Astyanax mexicanus: one gene and its partners. The main gene of each other region encodes a partner of the protein of the gene in region 2 in a complex. Links are inferred from orthologs where the notes say so. Each region holds a gene or a part of one and is shown on either strand. Other genes may lie near its edges. The genes, in order: exosc1, exosc8 and exosc6.

The links.
Region 1: exosc8 (region 2) and exosc1 share a complex: the UniProt entries of both Homo sapiens proteins name them as parts of the RNA exosome core complex. The link is inferred for Astyanax mexicanus from reciprocal best matches to the Homo sapiens genes EXOSC8 and EXOSC1.
Region 3: exosc8 (region 2) and exosc6 share a complex: the UniProt entries of both Homo sapiens proteins name them as parts of the RNA exosome core complex. The link is inferred for Astyanax mexicanus from reciprocal best matches to the Homo sapiens genes EXOSC8 and EXOSC6.

Annotation. Positions count from the first base shown.
Region 1 is NC_064428.1:35,417,236-35,425,164, reverse strand, and holds the start of exosc1 (exosome complex component CSL4), read left to right. Parts: upstream 1-4,864; 5' UTR 4,865-4,936; coding exon 4,937-4,964; intron 4,965-6,933; coding exon 6,934-7,049; intron 7,050-7,929. Other genes in the region: pgam1b (phosphoglycerate mutase 1b), read left to right, coding at 131-269, 1,101-1,375, 1,586-1,766, 2,178-2,347. UniProt on the Homo sapiens protein: Non-catalytic component of the RNA exosome complex which has 3'->5' exoribonuclease activity and participates in a multitude of cellular RNA processing and degradation events.
Region 2 is NC_064427.1:39,561,156-39,568,488, reverse strand, and holds the start of exosc8 (exosome complex component RRP43), read right to left. Parts: upstream 3,087-7,333; 5' UTR 3,017-3,086; coding exon 3,000-3,016; intron 2,725-2,999; coding exon 2,688-2,724; intron 1,983-2,687; coding exon 1,919-1,982; intron 1,273-1,918; coding exon 1,199-1,272; intron 1,110-1,198; coding exon 1,064-1,109; intron 977-1,063; coding exon 871-976; intron 1-870. Other genes in the region: alg5 (dolichyl-phosphate beta-glucosyltransferase), read left to right, coding at 4,967-5,047, 6,923-7,091. UniProt on the Homo sapiens protein: Non-catalytic component of the RNA exosome complex which has 3'->5' exoribonuclease activity and participates in a multitude of cellular RNA processing and degradation events.
Region 3 is NW_026040053.1:744,181-750,156, reverse strand, and holds exosc6 (exosome complex component MTR3), read right to left. Parts: upstream 2,014-5,976; 5' UTR 1,759-2,013; coding exon 943-1,758; 3' UTR 607-942; downstream 1-606. Other genes in the region: slc38a8b (putative sodium-coupled neutral amino acid transporter 8), read left to right, coding at 5,066-5,263. UniProt on the Homo sapiens protein: Non-catalytic component of the RNA exosome complex which has 3'->5' exoribonuclease activity and participates in a multitude of cellular RNA processing and degradation events.

The DNA of each region.
Region 1 (7,929 bases), on a different chromosome or scaffold from region 2:
ACTTCGCAGTGATATTCCGGTGTGTGTGAGTGTTATTTGTGTGTGTGTGTGTGTGTGTTTGTGTATCTCCAGCAAGTCGGTGAGTGACCGGCGGCTCGTGCGCTCCTCCTGCCCGCGCTCTGAGAGCAGTATGTCCGCCTACAGGCTGGTTCTGATCCGGCACGGGGAGAGCTGCTGGAACCGGGAGAACCGATTCTGCGGCTGGTTCGATGCGGATCTCAGCGATACCGGAGCGGAGGAAGCCCGCAGAGGAGGAGAGGCGCTCAGAGGTGTGTGTACAGTGTGTGTGTGTGTGTGTGTGTGTGTGTGTGTACAGTGTGTGTGTGTACTTGTGGATGGATTAAAGATGAGGTTTGAAGCTTAGAGGCAGCTTACTAGGGACACTTTATAGCATAGCCGCCATTTATCTATGTGTCATGTTTTTGCTAATTCTATGCTAAAAAAAAAACCTCAGTCCTGTTACTTTCATTTCTGTTACTTAAAACATAACAAGTAACAGGAGTGAGTTATCGTAACAGGAGTGAGTGTCAGTAACAGGATTAAGTTCCAATATCATGAGTGAGTACAAGTAACAACAATGAGTGCCATTAACTAGAATGAGTGCCAGTAACATGAATGAGTACCTGTAACAGAAAATAAGTGCCATTAACAGGAGTGAGTTCCATTAACAGGACTGAGTGCCTGTAGCAGGAGTGAATTCCAGTGACATGAGTGAGTGCCGGTAACAGGAATGAGTGGCAGTAACAGAAGTGAGTTCCAGTAACCAGAGTGAGTTCCAGCTACAGGACCGAGTTCCAGTTACAGGAATGAGTGCCAGTAACAGGAATGAAGTTCCAGTAACAGGAGTGATTTTTATGTCATAAGCATATATTATTTGGACATTAAAGAAAATCACACTTTCGTGTAAGGTAAAAAAAGGATCCAGCTAAAATAGATCCAGATACTGTTCAGATATTAAATGCATGTTAATGTCCATGTGTAAACAGGTAGAAAATTAAGGCAATACATATTAACTTTCATTCTTTTCCATGATTTCATTCCTTCCATCCTTTTATCTCTCTCTCTCTCTCTCTCTCTTTCTCTCTCTCTCTCTGCTGTAGAGGCGGGGTATGAGTTTGATGTGTGCTACACGTCGGTACTGAAGCGTGCTATCCGGACTCTGTGGCTGGTTCTGGAGAGTATAGATCAGATGTGGCTTCCTGTGCACCGGACCTGGCGTCTGAACGAGCGGCACTACGGCGGACTAACTGGACTGAACAAGGCCGAGACTGCAGCCAAGCACGGAGAGGAGCAGGTGAAGATCTGGAGACGCTCGTACGACACGCCTCCTCCGCCCATGGAGTCCGACCACGACTTCTACTCCACCATCAGCCAGGTACAGCCTGTACAAAAATGCCTTAGAAGTATGCATTAGAATTAAATCTATTTCCACTGATCTCCATTAAGAGATAAGAATGTTTTTTCCTTCTCCTGTAAATTTTATGTTTTTAAGATTTTTACATTTTTGCATGATGAAAACAATAAATCAGAAGTTGTTAGTTTTCCATAAAATGATTTCCATCTTCTCTGGGTTCTGTGGTTACAGGACCGCCGGTACACCGACCTGACAGAGGACCAGCTGCCGGCGTGTGAGAGCCTGAAGGACACAATCGCTCGAGCCCTGCCGTTCTGGAACGAGGAGATAGTACCGCAGATCAAAGACGGGAAGAGGGTTCTGATCGCTGCCCACGGCAACAGTCTCCGTGGCATCGTGAAGCACCTGGAGGGTGAGACATTAAAGCAGATACATGTATATGATATGAACATACTCACACTCACAGTTTTTTATTTCTAAAAAAAGCTTAAAATATACACTTGTTGTTGATTCTTCACAAAAAAATTACAGTTTCATATCTTTGTGTTTGAAGCCTGAAATGTGGCAAATGGTTGAAAAGTACAAGGGGGCCGAATACTTTTGCAAGGCTGTAGGTATTGGGACGCCTGCTCATTCACAGTGTCTCATTCTGAAATCAGGGGTATTAAAACGAGTTTATCTTGATTTTGTTGGAGTAACTGTCTCTATTGTCCAGAGAAGACTTTCTAATAGATGTTGACATTGGCATCTAATAGCATTGCTGTGAGGATTTGATTGCATTAAGCAATTTGGACATTTTCTGATCTGGATCTGATTGTTTCAGGAATGTCGGAGGAGGCCATCATGGAGCTGAACCTCCCCACCGGAATCCCCATCCTGTACGAACTGGACAAGAACCTGAAACCAGTGAAGCCCATGCAGTTCCTGGGGGACGAGGAGACCGTCCGCAAGGCCATGGAGGCCGTCGCTGCTCAGGGCAAGGCCAAGAAATAGAGAGAGAGAAAGAGAGAGAGAGAGAGAGAGAGAGAGAGAGAGAGAGAGAGAGAGAGAGAGAAAGAGAATAAATAGTTCACTTTATTTATCAGCTTCTAGATTTTACACTCTATCAGCACATGCCCACTATTGTGAACAATACTGTTATAATAATTAAAAAACACAGTCTTAGGGCCCTATCATACACCCTATGCAAGGCACATGGTGATGCTTATTGCTATCTTACTCCCCATCAACTCTTAATGAGCTTCTGGTGTATCTTCACAGCGTGGATGTGCAGGTCAGTATCCTTTGCTGAGACTCACAAAAGCTCTGCGCTGTTGAGATACGAACGCGCCAAAGTCAGAGCTCACCCGACTCTTAAAGGGAATGATTACTGACACACTGATTAGAGGGAGAACATTCTAGAATAGCATTTATTTGGTTGGAGAATATTCCATAACAGTGTTAATAAGAGAAAGTCATTTTAGAGCATCATTAATTTGGAAGGAAAATAGATGTTTGTTGGGTTGGCGGGTGTTGGGTTGCCAATTGTTGTAATGCCATTTGTTGGGTTGCTGTATGTGTTGGGTTGGTATGTATTGGGGTGGCATGTTTTGGGTTGTCGTGTGTTGGGTTGGGTTGCCGTGCTTTGGATTGGCATGTGTTGGGATGACGTATGTTGGGTTGCCATTTGTTGGATTGGCATGTGTTGGGATGACGTATGTTGGGTTGCCATTTGTTGGATTGGCATGTGTTGGGATAGTGTATGTTGGGTTGCCATTTGTTGGATTGCCACTTGTTGGGTTGCCGTATGTGTTGGGTTGCCGTGTGTTGGTTTGGCATGTGTTGGGTTGGTGTGTGTTGGATTGGCGTGCATTGGGTTGGCGTGCGTTGGGTTGGCGTGTGTTGGGTTGGCGTTTGTTGGTTTGCTGATTGTGTTGAGTTGCCATTTGTTGGATTGCCACTTGTTGGGTTGCTGTATGTGTCGGATTGCCGAGTGTTGGTTTGGCATGTGTTGGGTTGGTGTGCGCTGGATTGGCCTGCATTGGGTTGGCGTGTGTTGGTTTGCTGATTGTTGAGTTGCCATTTGTTGGGTTGTAATAAATATATTACAACCCATATTTGAGTGTGCTCAGTGTGAGGACTCTGCAGGATTATTCCAGCACTGCTGCCACTGTATGAACATTAGAGTGAAAGGCACTTGGCATTGCTCTTTAGTGGCAGCTTTAGTGCCAGCCGTATCCAGGCAACGGCATTCATAGAGACGGGGCAGCGGATAAATTAGTGATTTTTATTTTTTACAGGAAGGAGACTAAATGCACGGCGTTCCAAATCACTCCATGACTCACGCTGAGCTCCGGTGTCCTACATGCCTGGACGCCCACAGTACAGCACTTAAAATACCCCCCATACACACACACACACACACACACGCACACACACACACAGCCGGAGAGATCACATGCGTTTTAGAGCTTCTGCACTGCTCGAGTCCACTAAAGATAATAAGTCTGTGTGTTCCTAATGTTCTGAGGTATTATAACATGAAACGGCTGTTTCTCCCTGTCTGATTGTAAACCTAATTTCTATTTAAAGAAAAATGAGTTGATAATATATTTATTATATGCTTGACTGAATGGCACTGTCCTCTAGTTTGTGTGCAATCACTAATAAATGTTACAAAAATCTAAAAACAATTGCACTGTTTTTTCTTTAAAGTTGGTGTCAAATATGTGTATATACAGGTGCATCTAAAAAAATAGAATATCATTGAAAATTTACTTTATTTCAGTAACTTAGTTGAAAATGTGAAACTCATATATTATATATAATGTATTACACACAGAGTGATCTATTTTAAGCGTTGATGTATTTTATTGTTGACCATTATAGCTTACAGCCAATTAAAACCCATATATCTATATAATATATGAGTTTTAAACTGAATTACTGAAATAAATAAAATAATAAAATAATGGATTTGATTTGACATTAATTATTTTACAGATATTTCATTTAAAATACAATACAGTTTGTTTGCATATGTTGCAATTATACAAGGAACAACCTTCCTCTCAAACTTCCATTTTAATGTAAAAAATAATTTAAAGGATATTATAATATTGTTTTTCAGATTAATAGAATTTAGATCCCGAATATGTAAAACATTAAATTAAATTTAATTAAATTATGCATTCTAAGGTCTGCACTTTTATAGCTTGCAACATCCTAAATATATAATTTTTTAAATCTACTCTATTTTATATTCTTTGATTTAGTATATGTTTAATTTATTATCTCCAAATATAAATATAAAAATATGTATTTTTGTCATAATATATGTATATATTAAATTAAATTAATTTACACTTATTATGTTTTGTATAATTATTATTTTTATATATATATTTTTTAATTTGATTAATTAATATATTTGTTAAAAAAAAAAACATGCACTTTTAAAAGTGAGGTCACGACTTCCAGATCTTCCACAACAAAGATGGCGCCTGGACATGACTTAGCTCACTTCCGCGTAAGCGGCCAATCACAGGCCGCGCTCTCTGCTACTACCAACCAATCAGCACGCTCCCTTCTCTTCTTGAAAACATGTCGCCCATGAAGCTGTGTGTTCCAGGTAGGCGAGTCTTTTTAGCGCGTTTAGCGCTTTATTTAGCGATAAATCAGATTATTAGCGCTTAGTTTAAAAGAGGGGGGATGCTGTGCGGGCTGTGGGCGGGGTGTGGGGTAAATATTAGGTTTTAATAAAGTTTTAAAGTGGTTTTAACGGGGAATAGGAGTGAAAACGTGCTCGATGTGTAGCAACACATGACTGCAGAACATTTAAATATGGGTTATAATTTATATATGGACTATTTTACAGCTAATAACGGGGTTTTATTGGTTATTAATAACATCAGTAGTGCAAATAACAGTAATAAGTAATAGTACCAGCAGCAGCAATAACAGTAGTACGGATAGAAGCAACCGCAGCAGTATTATTATTTTAATAATACGTCTATATGTATACAGCTCTGGAAAATATTAAGAGATCACTTCAGTTTCTGAATCAGTTTCTCAGTTTTGCTATTTATAGGTTTGTGTTTGAGTAAAAAAAAAACGTTGTTTTATTCTATAAACTACAGATAACATTTCTCCCAAATTCCGAATAAATTTATTGTCATTTAGAGCATAAATTTGCAGAAAATGGGAAATGGCTGAAATAACAAAATAGATCCAACGAAAACAAGTTCATATTCATAAAGTTTTAAGAGTTCAGAAATCAATATTTGGTGGAATAACCCTGGTTTTTAATCACAGTTTTTTTCATGCATCTTGGCATCATGTTCTCCTCCACCAGTCTTACACACTGCTTTTTGATAACTTTATGCTATTCTCTCCTGTTGCAAAAATTCAAGCAGTTCAGTTTGGTTTGATGGTTTGTGATCATCCATCTTCCTCTTGATTATATTCCAGAGGTTTTCAGTTTGGTCAAATCAAAGAAATTCATAATTGATAATGCTTAAAATAATAATAACAGCAGTAATAAGTAAAGTAGTAATAATAATAATAGGTATATAGTGCAGTATGAGTGTGTGTGTGTGTGTTGTTGACTGACTTTTACTCACTCTAACTCGTTTGGTGAGCCTGGCCCACCCCTCAGGCAAGCAGCTGCCAAACATTCCACTTTGACTTTCAGCTCCAGCTCTCTCTCCCTCGTGTTTCCCTCGTGTAAAAGCTGCTGCTGGATGTGTTTTAACATGATCACAGGCTTCACACACTTCCAGTGCCATTCTCAGGTTAACACGTTTATTAATAAGACCTGTAGTAACACTGCAGTGCCGCTGTTAGATTTGTGTTGGTTTAAGAACTCCAGCAGCACTGCTGCACTGCCTGATCCACTCACTGTACCAGCAGCACAATACACACTAACACTTTATACACCACCACCATGCTAATCAGTGCTCATCACTGCATAACTGTAAATATAGCTATATGTCCAAATATTTGTGGACACACGTTCTAATAAATGCATTTATTAGCTAGGCCAGTTTTCCCACTCATTCAGCTGTTGATGACACAACACAAAAAAGGGTAAAGACTAGCTCATGCCTCGTCTGATACATGTGAAGTCAGCCACCGCCTCTTTTCAGAGGAAAGCGCAGCTAGAGAAGACCTTCTACTATATTTTAGATTAAAGCATTGCTGTGAGGCTTGGATTGCATTGAGCCCCACAATCCAAGAGTTAGTGAGGAGGTCAGGATTTTGGGTAATTCATCTCAAAAGGATAAGTATTGGGTGGAGCTCCATCATTCCAGACTCCCAGTGCTGGTTTATGGCATGGTGCCAGTAGGTTTATGTATATGTTCTCCAGAGAGTCCTATTCTTTTTTTTTTTTATATAATTGATTTCTGATTTTTTTTTCCGTTTTCTCCCAATTTGGTCATCCAATAGTCCTATTGCATGGATTTCCAATGGGTGGAACTTTATTAAAGTATCTGAATGCATTTATTTGTATGTATTTGGGTATATAGTTAATTTTAGCTGAAAGCTTTATATATATATATATATATATGTGTGTGTGTGTGTGTGTGTGTGTGTTGCAGGTGAAAGGCTGTGCAGTACGGAGGACTGTATCCCCGGGGCAGGAACGTATCTGAGGCATGGCTACATCTTCGCCTCGCTCGCTGGATACGTGCTCAGGAGGAACGAGGGCGAGGAGGTGAGGAACCTGCAGGGATTAACGCTGGTTGCGCAATCGAGGCATGCGCCTAATATTACTGTAGCACAGTGGAGATGTATGCAAATCGGTATTGCGAAATGGTTTGGACATATTTCTGTAGGTTTGATCTCAGTCACACACCCAACCACACACACACACACACCTGTTTTAAGTATGTGGTGTGGGATGGTATGTCTGTACGTCTTCAAAATGACAGATTGCTATTAAAATATGATATTGTTAAAATGCCTTTAAACAGGCCCTAGAGTGTTTTAATCTTAGTATAGATGAATGAGAGTTCAGTACATGAAAGTGAGAAAACAGGCTGATTCCAGAATCCCAAAACTGTTACATCACAGTCCTGACAGTGTAAAAAAAAAAAAAGACTACGGATGTGTTCTTACTAGACACTCTTCTAAAGGGTCTAAAGTTCTGCCACTATGATCGGGAGATTGCTGGTTTGAATCCCGGTCATACAGCTTGCCATCAAGCTCTGCCATCAGCTGCCAGAGCCCTGAGAGAGCACAATTGGCCTTGCTCTCTCTCTGGGTGGGTACAGTAGATGGCGCTTATTCCCCTCATCACTCCAAAAGGGTGATGTCGATCAGCACAAGGCGTCTGTGAGCTGATGTATCAGAACCGAGACGCTGCGCTTTTTCTTTCAAAAAGAGTCAGAGTCTGAATTTACATACTAGTCTTTGCCCTCTTGGTTATGAGGCATCACTAGTGATGTATATCTGGCTTATCTAAATTTGGGAGAAAATTAAGAAAATAATTATAAATAAATGAGAAAATGCCCTATAAAAAGGCTCTCTGAGGCTACTTTTGAGTAGTGCACCTCTTGGTGAGAGATTGTTGACTGCTAGACCGCTATTTTGCT
Region 2 (7,333 bases):
GGTATTAATGTGCAGCATGTGAGACAGTGTTTCAGGAACAGATTCGTTCACATTACACACAGATACAGATCACTTACATTTACAGTGAATGTGAACTGTCAAAAGAGCCAAATTCAGTCTGAGCAGAAAATCTGATTTCAGCAGTGTGGCTTATAATGTGAACGTAGCCTTAGCACACAGAGTAAACATCCACTGTGCAGGCTAGAAAAAGTAAGTGAACCTCTGTGTTAATTGGTAATGACTTCACTGCTGATGTTCCACCTTCCCTTTAAGTTTTAGTGTTTTGCATCCAAAAACTTTCTCCAAAACTCACTGGGAAGGGGTGCCAAGTGGTCCAGCGGTCTAAAGCGCTGCCACTATGAGCGGGAGGTCGTGGGTTCGAACCCCCACTCATGCAGCTTTACCATCAAGCTGCCGGCGCTGAGAGGGAGCACAATTGGCCCTGCTCCCTCCGGGTGGGTACAGTACAGTAGATGGCGCTCTCTCCCCACATCACTCCTAGGGTGATGTCTGCAGCACAGGGCGTCTGTGAGCTGATGTATCAGATCCGAGTCGCTGTGCTTTCCTCCGAGTGTTAGCGCTGTGATGCTGCTCGTTAATGCTACATCATCAGCAGCAGCTCGAAAAGAAGCGGTGTCTGACTTCACATGTATCAGAGGAAGCATGTGTTAGTCTTCACCCTCCTGGTGTGTTGGGTCATCACTAGTGATAGGGGGGAGTCCTAATGAGTGGGTTGGGTAATTGGCCGCGTAAATTGGGGAGAAAATGGTGTCATAAAACCATTAGTATAGTTTTTAACCTTCACAAAGCTTTAAGAATCTGACCACAAAGTCCCAATTAGAGTCACTGACACAAAGAAACTCATCTCACCCATCAATGACGTCAGCGATGAACTGGCTGGCGGCCTGCGCCTGCTCTCCTGGTGGCCCCGGCCGAAATCTGGACGAGCAGAGTGGAGGCAGGTCTACATTCGGAACTGAGACACGAAAGAGCCAGTCAGACTTCAGTTACCCTCACAGACGATTGCCTTTAATAATTATTATAACAACTCACTCAAACATACCAATATATCCTTTATCAGGAGCATCTGAGGGCGGCGCGGCTAGTTCCTGTTTTAAAACATGAAGTTTTGAAGTGTTTGTTATGTTTATTTGTGATCAATATGTGAGTATTTGAGGGAGTGCGGGATGCTGCTTACTGCTTTTATGCCACAGATCACTGTAGTGTTTCCAATTTTCACCATTGCTGAACCATCAGCTGTTCCAATCGAACCTGCATATAAAGGATTTTCAGGATGTAAAGTTAAGATCTTACATTCATCACAACCTTTTCACACATAAATGTATATTATTGAGGTTTTAAGTGATTGAACCACACAGTAGCAAATAACTGAAGTGTAATAAAATTAATACATAGTTTTTAAAATTTTAATCAAAAAGACATCTGCAAAAAAGTGACATGCAAGTATTCAGCCCCCCCTATCAATACTTAGTGGAGCCACCACCTTTCTTTTGGGCATGTCTTGACCAGCTTTGAGCTTTGCACATCTAGAGACTGAGATTTTTACCCATTTTTCTTTGTAAAACAGCTGAAGATCAGTCAGGTTGGATGAAAAGCGTTTGTGAACAGCAGTATTTAGGTCAGGACTTTGACTGGGCCATTCTAACACATGAATATTCTTTGATTTAAATAATTCCACTGTAGCTCTGGCTGTATGTTTGGGGTCATTGTCTTGCTGGAAGGTGAATCTCCTTTATAGTCTCTCTTCAGTCTATCATTTAAAATCTTAATAAAAAAAAGTGTGTAGTTTTACGGTGAAATGTAAAAAAGTTCAAGGGGTATGAATACTTTTGCAATCCACTTTATACACCAAAACAGAATACAAGTCATACATTTATAACAATGCGCAACAGCTTACCTATATTTAACGTTGTGGGTCTGAACTCTCCCAGTTCTCTGCCATCTGGCCTGCAGTTTTCTTTCTATATGAAGAGAAGCAGGACTGTGTGAATCTACAGCGAAATACACCACATCTCCAAAAGTAAAGTACTGATAAAATCAGTATTTTATCTTAATCAATATCTAACATGATCACTATGTTTTCCAGTTTTATTTTATGATATTTGGTTAATTCTTCTGAGTGACTCATATGGAACCATGGTTAAAACTTTATGGTCTGACAAGACCTCTTCTCTGAATGAAAAGTAAACATTTAAATCAGTATTGTATGGGCTATCTGAGATATAAATGGTATAGGAGATATATGGCATCTGTTTTAAGATTAGAGCAGTCTCCTCAAAAAAGTTAAGACCAGTCATCATCCTAGGTCAGGGTGATCATAGTGATGTACACCACTTAAGGCATAACGATTTGGCCAGAACAAACTGAAGTTTAGTCTGGGGGAGGCTGAGATATATTGACTGTAATGTGAACGAATCTGTTCCTGAAACGTCTCACATGCTGCACATTGTTATGTCTGAATGCAATCAATTCCTCACAGCTATGTTCCTGTTTACTGCAACCTCAGGCCTTTTTTAGTAGAGTAGAGTCGGTTTAGTACAGCAAACTGTGGACAGATCTTTATTAATAACCTCTGATTTAAAAAGAAAACTGGACGTGTCTACACTGGATCATGTCTTGTAGAGTACATGTAGATGTACTGAAGTAAATAAAGTAGTTAAACTTACCAAGAAGCTCCTGTGATACTCCAGAGGCTCTGCAGTTCTGATAAAACACATTAAATTTATTTAGACAGTTTTATAATTAACACTATCTGGTTTATTTAGTAAAAGAGCAGTACAATAACAAGTACAGGGACAGATTAGCTCGTGTACAACATTAAGAGAGATCAGTCAGCTGTGATACTCCAGATATACTCTCTATATATTTAGCCTAAGCTGTAATATTAACAGAAATTCAGCACTCTGCTGATATAACTATATAAATAAAGCACGCCGCTGCTGCTGATATAACTGTAAGTTCCAGTCCGCTCCACTTACTTGAACCCCGCCGCCATGATGCTGAGGAAAACACCACGTGAAGAGGGCGGATGACGTCAGAAGAAGGGGACGCGGGTCTTCCAGTCCAGCAGGGGGCGCGCTGAGAATCCTCCCCCGGACCGGGGCCGGTCTGGAGGCGTGTGCTGTAATCAGAGAGCCTGTAGAGAGGAGAGGGGCCACTTCAGAGTCTCTTCCACAGGGCCCTCTAGAGTGATTCCAAAATTAATGTGTTCATATGGAGCAGCTGAGCAAAATCAGAATTTATCAGAGTTTATCAGTGTTTTTCTTTTAATACTGTTCACGTTTCTCATTTCCTTAACACAAAACCATTTAAACTATTTTCATAGTTCTACCCTATTTTGCAGAACTTGTTTATTCACTAGTTCACTCATCTACTGTTTACGTATCTTTTGCACTGCTAAAGTAATTATACAACTGTCTATTTGCTTTTTCAGTTATCCTCACTTTATGCACTTTATCAACTTGGTGTCACTGTCTATTGTGTTCAACTGCGTTACCTCTACATTTTCAGCTTATATATATATATATTCTCTTTATTTCTCTTCACTAAAGTATGTGACCATTCTTCTAGGTAGACTCCTCCTATGGCTGTGTATGTCTAGAGCATGTTTACAGTGTTTACAGATGTATACTATAATACCCTATTTAAGCAGGTCCCCAAAACTGGGGAGAAGAGAGAGCAGGAACATCAGAATTGAACAACTTCTCTCTTCAGGGCTGGCCTAGCCTTGGACCGCCTTGAAGATATTGTTGATATTGTCTATTACACGTAAGGCAGTGTCTGCGGTGTCTTCTTCCTTAACTTCAAGCATCTTCACAGCAAAGAGACAGTGATAAACGACAAGAGGAGATGGCAGTGTCATCTTCATATCAGAAGACTTCGATGCTCCGGTTCTGCCTTTTACTCTGCTTCCTCGTGCTTTCTGCCTACTAGGGGTGGGTGATATGGCTCTAAAATAATATCACGATATTTCAGGGTATTTTTGCGATAACGATATACTTGGCGATATAGGAAAACTAAAATAATTAATTCATTTCAGGAATATAGTATAATAGTATAACAGTATAATCATAATGTGGCAAAATAAATAATATAGCATAAAATAATATAATGCAGCAAAAATATTGCAGAATATTTAGTGCATGCATATAAACTGCAAACTAAAACAATTATACAATAAATACACCTAAAGCTTCACAGTAAATAATAGACTACTTTTAAGACAGAACAGCCCTATTATCACGATATGCATTTTTAATATCATGATATTTCTGTGTCACGATATATTGTATATGATATAATATTGCCCACCCCTACTGCCTACAATATGATAATAAACCTTTTCACTGCTTTCTGTAATAAATAGCTGCATAACATATAATACATTTACTTTCAGAACTTGAGTTGTAAAATTAGAATAAACTACTTTTAAGTACAAAGAAATGATGCATACTTTAGGACGTCTAACGTTACATAAGTGTGGTGCTTAAAGAACACTTCTACAGTAATTGCTGTAAAAATAATAATAATAATAATAATAATAATTATTATTATACAGTTAAGTTTAAATTTCTTTATGAGAATTACATTGTTATAATTTTTAAACAAGTTTTAGACACTGATACACAGATACAGCTAGTTTTTATCCTTTTAGCTTCACTCACTCCCAGTCATTGAGGACTCGCTCGCGGGCTCCCTCTATCGGTGGGGGGTGATTTCTCCTGTATCATGGCGGTGTGAAGTGCGCATGCTCGGGGTGCAGCAGCTGTGGCGGTGTGCTGTAATGATGATGTGGAGCAGCGGCGGGTCATTTCCGCAGTGCTGTTTCACTGTGAGGTGGAAGAACTTCAGCCATGGCGTTTTAATACCGGTTATAACTCCTGTTCACTCCCCCCTATGAGCGGGCTGTAGTTGCGGGGTGTCTCTGGGCTGTGAGAGGAAGAGGATGATGGTGATGATGATGGATCAGTGTGTGTGTCAGATCCTCCAGGTCGCTGCAGCTCTGCTCCTGCTCCTCTTACTCCTGGTGAGTTTAATGTTTTGGTGTTTCTGTCAAAATTTTACAGAATCTGAGGGCCTGGAGCTCCTCTGCCTGGATCACTGATCTCTATTTTTTACTCTGGCTGAGATATTTATTTATATTTAGTCAATGTCCTGATCTAAACAAATCTTTCTACAATTAAAGTTATGTTTTTTCTCAATCCCCGTTGTAAAGTTGTTGTTTTTAGTCAATTTAGACTGATATAACCTCAGGAAAAAATTAAGAGACCACTTAGAATTGATTTTCTTTAATATTAACAAATTGAAATATATTCCTCTGGAATATAATCAAGAGGAAGATGGATGATCACAAACCATCAAACCACCAAACTGAACTGCTTGTTTGAATTTTGCACCAGGAGTAAAGCAGCATAAAGTTATCCAAAAGCAGTGTGTAAGACTGGTGGAGGATGAGAACATGATGCCAAGATGCATGAAAACTGTTATAAGAAACTAGGGGTTTTCCACAAAAAAAAAAAAAATCTGAACTCTTAAAACTTTATGAATATGAACTTGTTTTCTTTGCATTATTTGAGGTCTGAAAGTTCTGCATCTTTTTTTTGTTTTTTCAGTCATTTCTCATTTTCTGTAAATAAGTGCTCTAAATGAGAATATTTTTATTTGGAATTTGGGAGAAATGTTGTCTGTAGTTTATAGAATAAAACAACAATGTTCATTTTACTCAAACATAAACCTATAAATAGCAAAATCAGAGAAATTGATTCAGAAACTGGAGTGCTCTCTTAATTTTTGCCAGAGCTGTATCTCAGGAGAATGAATCTCACCTTACTGTATTGATGAAGGATCCTCTATTTTTAGTGTAAAGCTAGACAATATATTGATATATTTCTTCTTATCGTATCCACTATAATCATATCGAACTTAAAGAATACAGACCGAACTATCCATTCATTACAGAGTGTGAAAAAGTCTTGTTTGCACTTCAATAGCAAAATCTGCCTCTGCTGATGCAATTACTCTGGTGAAAAATTTACTGGGTGTAGTAAAACATGATAAAAATTTCCAGATGTATGTATTCTGGATGATGGAGAAGTATTGGTGGGACTGTAGGTAAAGTGCAGGGTGTAGAGTGAGTCTGTGGTGAGCAGCAGTGAGAGAGGTGAGATGAGCTGTGATAGGCTGTGGACTGGTACACTTTATTACAGGCTGTTCAGCAGCCTGATGGCCTGGGGGAAGAAGCCGCCTCAGAACTGGCTGTTCCTGGTTTTCATGTTTTCTACTACTGGCAGCGTCTTGGTTTGGTGAAATCCTTTATAATCCTCCAGGAATTCGTCAGACAGTGGCTTTTGTATTAATCCAGAAGATTTGGGAGCTGTACACAGGGATCTGTATGTCCAAATGTTTGAGACGCCCTTTCTAGTAAATATATGCAGCTGCTTTAGGCTGCCACCCTTGCTGACACAGATGTGCAAAAGAGTGAAATGAGGTGGGGTAATTAAATTAAATACATACTGTATTTAATGATGCTTTTGTGACTAAATAAAATCTTTTCTGCGGTTTCTTAAAATCAAATGAAAAGCATTATCTGGAGTTTAGAGACAGTTATTCCAGCAAAAGCAGGGTCATCTCAGATTTAACTACCCTAGATTTCAGAAGAAACCATGGTATACTTATTTTTCATGAAGCTGTTTTAACTGCAGTTCTGTTGGGAACTCAACACCTGTCATTATATTACTGAAGGAACAATACGCTGGCTACTCCACCCATTTCTGGTTATTATTAGGGGAGTTTTATTCAACTCCAGCCCTGCAGCTTAATATAGATCTTGTAATACTTTGCTGAAGCTCTGCTGAAGTGTGTCTGCTGGGTTCAGCTATCTCATTTGTCTCCTCTTCTTTAGGTTATTGTAATTGCCCACGTTACAGCCAGCATGGTGGACCAGACGCGTGCAGAGCAGGAGAAATATTTTCTGACAGCTTCAGGAAACAAGGAGCCATTCCCTAGTCTGTTTGACCCCCATTCAAGAGAGCTGTCTGTAGTAGTGCCGTCCTACAACGAGGAGTCCAGATGTAAGCTGTTTATTACTATATCTTTCTTATCTGTATTTTTTTAGGGGTGTCACGATTTCAATATTTCATTGAAATCGATCGAAATTATGTCATGGTCTCGCACATCGAAGTCAAAAAGAGGATCAACGATCCCTCCCACAAACGGTGTAGCACACTGTAGCTCAAAGAGCAGCTCTTTCTCCAGAGAATGTGGACATTCTCATCTCCTTAAAGAAAAACTTAAAGAAAATATAAAAATAACA
Region 3 (5,976 bases), on a different chromosome or scaffold from region 2:
CATTATTAATGCCTCTCCGTTATTGTTACCCACAATAACAATGATATTATGATACTGTGATTCTTTGCAGTACTTTACAGTATCTGTGTTTCTGAAGAGGATAAAATTCTCCTAAATAATCAAATACAAGCAATTACGCATTTACTGGTGTTTAAATTTCACACAATTTAACAACCAATATTCTTCACCGCAGTAAAAATTAAAATGTATTATAGTAGATCTAAAATGAATCTGTCACACAATCTGAATTAACTCTGAGCTGATGTTTTTGTAGCTCAGAATAGATTGTTTCCATCAATAAACGTATATTTTATTATATTAATTATGTATTGCAAACAATATTTTATCCAACCCCTAGTGCCCAACTCTTGCTGTAGTCCCACCAGAACCTGAACCAGAACCAGAACCTGAACCAGAACCTGAACCAGAACCTTGGTTAAACTGGTTCAGATAAATCAGGAAAAATAATTTCAAACTTAAATGTCACATTATAGAATATGCTTAATGATGTCACTATTGCACATGTACACATTATAATAACAGTGCTAAACAGCCGTAAGAGAAACCTGTGGTGTAAGAAAATAAGACTGTCTGAATACTTTTACATATTTTTTAAGTATTTTATTGTTACACAGCTTTTACATAAATGTAAAAACTATTTTCTAGTGATATAAAATACAAACATAATAAACCATTTTTGATTCAAACTATTTTTGATTCGGTGCATCCTCACTATTCTCACACAGAAAACTCGTATCTCCAAAACAACTTTCAGTGGAAGGGAATGTTTAAAAAAAAAAAAAAAAACATTTTATTTAAAGTTATTTGAAGCATTTCTATTGGTTCACAGTGTGAACAACAAGAATTGCTGCCGCCAGTCATGTGATGCATAAACCGGTTCCGACCCTGCAGTGTAAACAGGTTTATTATGGTATATACGAATTATTTCTCAGGGGGCGGGGCTTTTCTCTTCACGGCCCGCAGGATGGCCTGCTGCACCACCGGATACAGTTTATGGCAGCTCTCCATGCACGTGCGCACGGCGGCGCTCAGCGTGTCCGCGCGCAGCTCCCCGTCCGCGTGCAGTCCCGACACCTGGTTCAGGTTGGGCAGGAGCGCGAGCGTCACGCCGCCCCGGTTCTCTTCGTAGCCCGCGAGCCAGTTGCCCCGCTCCTCCGCGAGGTCCGGGTCCACCAGGCTCGCGCCGCCGTCCTGCCGCAGCGCGGAGCCCAGGACCACGTCGTACATCTCGATACCGGCGTCCGCGAGCGCCATGGAGGCGCAGGTCACCGCGTGCGCCAGAACCGAGCCGTCATTCTCCAGAACCATCACGTTCACCTCGATCTGCGCGCGCGGGTACCGGTGCAGGCACACGGCGGGGTGCAGGCTCTCGGAGAGCGCGAGCGACAGGTCCCGCTCCCCGCTGCCCTGGATCCACGCGCCGCGCTTCCCGCAGGAGAACGGCGCGAGCCGCAGGTCGCACAGCAGGCGGCCGCTCCGCACCCCGGCCTCGTCCCGCCGCTCCGGCTCGCGCGGCCCGTAAACCGAGCACAGGATCTTAGTGTTCCCCGCTTCCAGGTAGCTCGAGCCCTTCGCCTGGCTCACGAGACCGCAGCGCGCGAACACCGGCCGCACCTCTCCGTTCCCGCGGCCCGCGCGCGGCTCCCGGGGCTCCGCGGTCTGCGCGGCGGGGGGCAGAAACAGCAGCGGGCACTGAGACTCCTCCGGTCCGCGCACGCGCTTCGTATCTACCGGCATTCTGGCTATTACACGGGGCTCACGCGCTCCTCCACCGCGTGCGCGACTACAAACAAACCCACGCAACACCGCTCTTCTTCTTCTGGGTTTGTTTTTTGGCAGACTGCAATCTCAGCGCATTACCGCCACCTGCTGGACTGAGGTGTAATCTCACCGGGATACCGGTCAATTCTCCCGTTTTGACCGGAAAACTACCGTATTTTACCCCTCTCTCCCCCCGTCCTCCCGGATAATGTTTTCCGTAAATTTTCTGTATTATATTTAAAAAAAACAAAAAAAACATTTATATGCCCCTCCAAACTGAAATGTCACTAATCTCGCGAGATTAGTGCCGACAGCGGAAACAACCCTGAAACAACCAATCAGAGAGATGGGAAGGAGAGAAAGCATTCCTGCCAAAAAACACCACACTATGAAAATACATACTCATACATACTGTACATATATAAAATATTATTCATACTCCTTCTGACTGCAGAAAATACTATTAATCACAAAAAATAATATTCAACTAAAAAGACTGTATATTAATATATATAATAATATTATTAGACATATTATATCATTGTACTATGATATTGAACCTTGGTTGGGCTGGTATGCCCAATAATAAAATAAAATAATAAAAACATACTAAAGTCTTCTTGCAAGTGTTTTTTATAAACTCTATGATTACTTTGACTGTAGTCTCTACCACTTAAACTCTAAGTTGTTATTGTAGTTCTTTCTTATCCTCTTGAGACGTTCTCTCTCTCTTTAGAGTAATTCCTGTATGTAAACAGCGCACGCTTTACGGTTTCAGTTTATTATAGTATGAACACCGGTCTCATGTTCTCCTAATCTTATCCTGGAGTGAACTGAATTAGCTGACTGTTATTACTCTTGTTTACTGTATAAATACCTGCTTTTCTCATCCTTATCCCATTTGTCTCGCCAGATTTTATGATCCCCGTGTTTGATTATTGCTTTAATTCTAATTTGCTGGAACCTGTACTTCTGCTTGTTTTGATTTCTGAGTTTCATTTTCCACTCGTCTGTTTTCTCATTTCCCTGTGTGCTGGAGCCCAGGTGAACTGTAAATTTAAAATTTGTTGACTTATTCTATAAATCATCTGGACTGTGCGTCAGGTTAAAAAAATTAACTAAACAAACAAAAACAAACAAAAAATAATAAAAATAACAATAGTAATAATAATAACAATAATAATGATAATATTAAAAAAAACGAATCCTGTCAATTAGTCCCGCATTTTTCAAGAAACTACTCAAGTATTTCAAACAGACCTGTATTTAACTTTATTACCTTCAGACTGAACTGAGTGAGTTTTTCCTCTGGTAGTGCAGTCAGTCTCTGTGTTTTCTATGTTGTGTTTAGAACACTGATAAACACACGTCCCGTCAGTATGATTATTTATATAATATAATGCGCTGTAGAGTCCTGTGTGTTCTGTAGGCGCTTTCTATTAAATACATCCTCCACCTGCTCACTCTGTCCTGTAACCCCGCCCCTTCCAACTTCATTCTCAATACTGTAGTAATAATAATAAATGTCCTGTATTCCGTGTTCTACAGGTGTTGCCATTTTCAACTGACTGTAAATTTGTATTAAAACTACTTTTCCAGCAAATTCCAGAAATAAACAAATAAAATGACCTGTATATTATATTTATATTTTTATATTTTTACACAGTAAAAGAGAGCTGACTTGTTGGTGAGCTGATGCTGGTTTCCTCACACAGAACTAAATGTACTGTTTTAATTGATCTTAAAGCTTTTAAACTCCAGTATAATAAACTCTATTAATCTCGTAAGCAGTGCTGCACTTCTATTATCTGATCTGTTTACTTTATATTAAAATACTTAATTTTATTTTATAAAATTAAAGGAATGTCCTGGACAAGCAGTTAATTACTATGTTTTATCATTTAGCTCCATTTAGCCACATTCCACATAGCCACAATAATTTTCCAAAGCAAATCAGAATATATTTACAGTGGCTTCCAAAAGTATTCATACCCTTTAAACTTTTCCACATTTTCTCTCCTTAAATACACAAACTTGATAAACCATCATAAAGTAATGCATACATGTGAAGTGAAATGAAAATGATACATGTTTTTTTGAATGTTTTATCAAATAAAAATCTAAAAGGGTGGCGTGCAAAAGTATTCATCCCCCTATATCAATACTTAGTAGAGACACTTTTCTCTGAAGTTACAGCTTCAGGTTTTTCAGGGTTTAGTCTCTACCAGCTTTAATCATCTAGAGACTGTAGACTTTAACTGGATCATTCTAACACATGAATATTCTCTGATTCTCTGATATGCTGCAACTGCAAACAGCAATTCTTGTTTCTTTTAACAATGTTTTTCTTCTTCCACTCTTCCATAAAGATCAGATTTGTGGAGAGCAGGACTTATAGTTGTTCTGTGAACAGATTCTCCTGATCTGTGGATCTCTGCAGCTCCTCCAGAGTGATCATGGGTCTCGGCTGCTTCTCTGATCAGTGCTCTCCTTGCTGGATCTGTTAGTTTGGGTGGATGGTTGGTTCATGTCTTTGTAGGTTTGTTGAAACAGTAGTAGAATATATGTTTTTGGGAGATGTTTTTATAATCTAACTCTGCTTTAAACTTCTTCTCCAAAACTTTATCTCTGATCTGTCTGCTGAGTTCTTCCTTCTTGGTCTTCATGATGCTGTTTGTTCACTAGTGTTCACTAATAAACCACTGAGCTCTTCACAGAACAGCTGTATTTATACTGAGACTAAATTACACACAGCTGGATTATTAACTCTATTAATATTATTTATTATCTATTATTAGTTGGAGTTGGACAGTAAAGACAGTTACTCCAATAAAAGCAGGATAAACTGTGTTTAATAGTCTCGGTTTTAGAAGAGACAGGGAGTGATCACCCCTATAGTGCACTATAGTGTACACTCTGGCACGTGGTCAGTTAGTTGACGCGGGTGTGTTATAGTGTCAGGTGACCCCGGGCACGGAGCGGGCACGTGCTCACAGGTCTGGCATCTTCAAAGCGCGCGCCGGGCTCACATACCTGTGCTACATGTCTCACACAGGTGAGACATTTTAAAGTGGGTCTTAATGGAGCGCGCGCCGGGCTCGCGCCGCTTATCCATCAGACTCAGACCCGCCGTGTCAGATCTCCGTTATCTCCACGGAGGAAGAGGAGCCCCGTGCGCGCGTGCTGTCTGTCCTTCCCCGTGTGCGCGTGCTGTCCGTTCTGCTCCGTGCGCGCGTGCTGTCCGTCCTGCTCCGTGCGCGTGCGGTTTGGAGCGCGAGTCACTATGGAGGAACTGGCGCGCGAGAGCATCCGCAGCCTGAGCGTGCTGGCCAAACCCGCGCGCGGTACGGAGGCTCCGCGGCTCGGTTCGTTCGGCGCCGTGTTCATCATGCTGAAATCCGCGCTCGGAGCCGGACTGCTCAACTTCCCCTGGGCCTTTCAGAGAGCGGGGGGCATCAACCGAGCTATCACCGTGGAACTGGTAATCACACAAACACACACTATACACACTATACACACACACACACACAATCCAGACTGAACTTCTCCAATGCAGGAGACACACGCACACACACACACACACACACTATACACACTATACACACAAACACACATATATGTGCATATACACATACACAAACATAAACATAATGGGAATATTTAAATTATACCACCATTAGTACCGACCCTGCGATGTGATTGGCTAAGAGCCGTTCTATGAGTACCGTTATCAGCCGGTAATGCACTGTAACCGAAGCTCTTCATGTATTACTCCGCCACATACAGGTAACCTAGCAGCGATGCAGCGCTTACAAACCAAACAGCACAGCTACAAACAGAGCAGCAATGGAACTATTTTAACTGGTGGAGTTTTTTTTATAACCAAACAAATCCTATTATCCAATAGCAATGCAATGTTTAATATTTATAGGAAAAACAGAAACATACATGGAGTTGGGGTTGATTTATCTTTTAATGAATTTAAAGTCTTATGTTTGTAAATTCAGGATATGATAGATAAATCTTCAGATAGGAAAAGAGGATTATATTTTCTTGGTAATATAAACATTTACTGGTTGTTTTAATGTCTTGTCCAACTAAAAATAGGTGGTTTAACACATTAAAACAATGTGACATAAAACAAGCGGTAAATGTACAAACAGTCTACATGTCTTTATCATTACAGGAGAAATA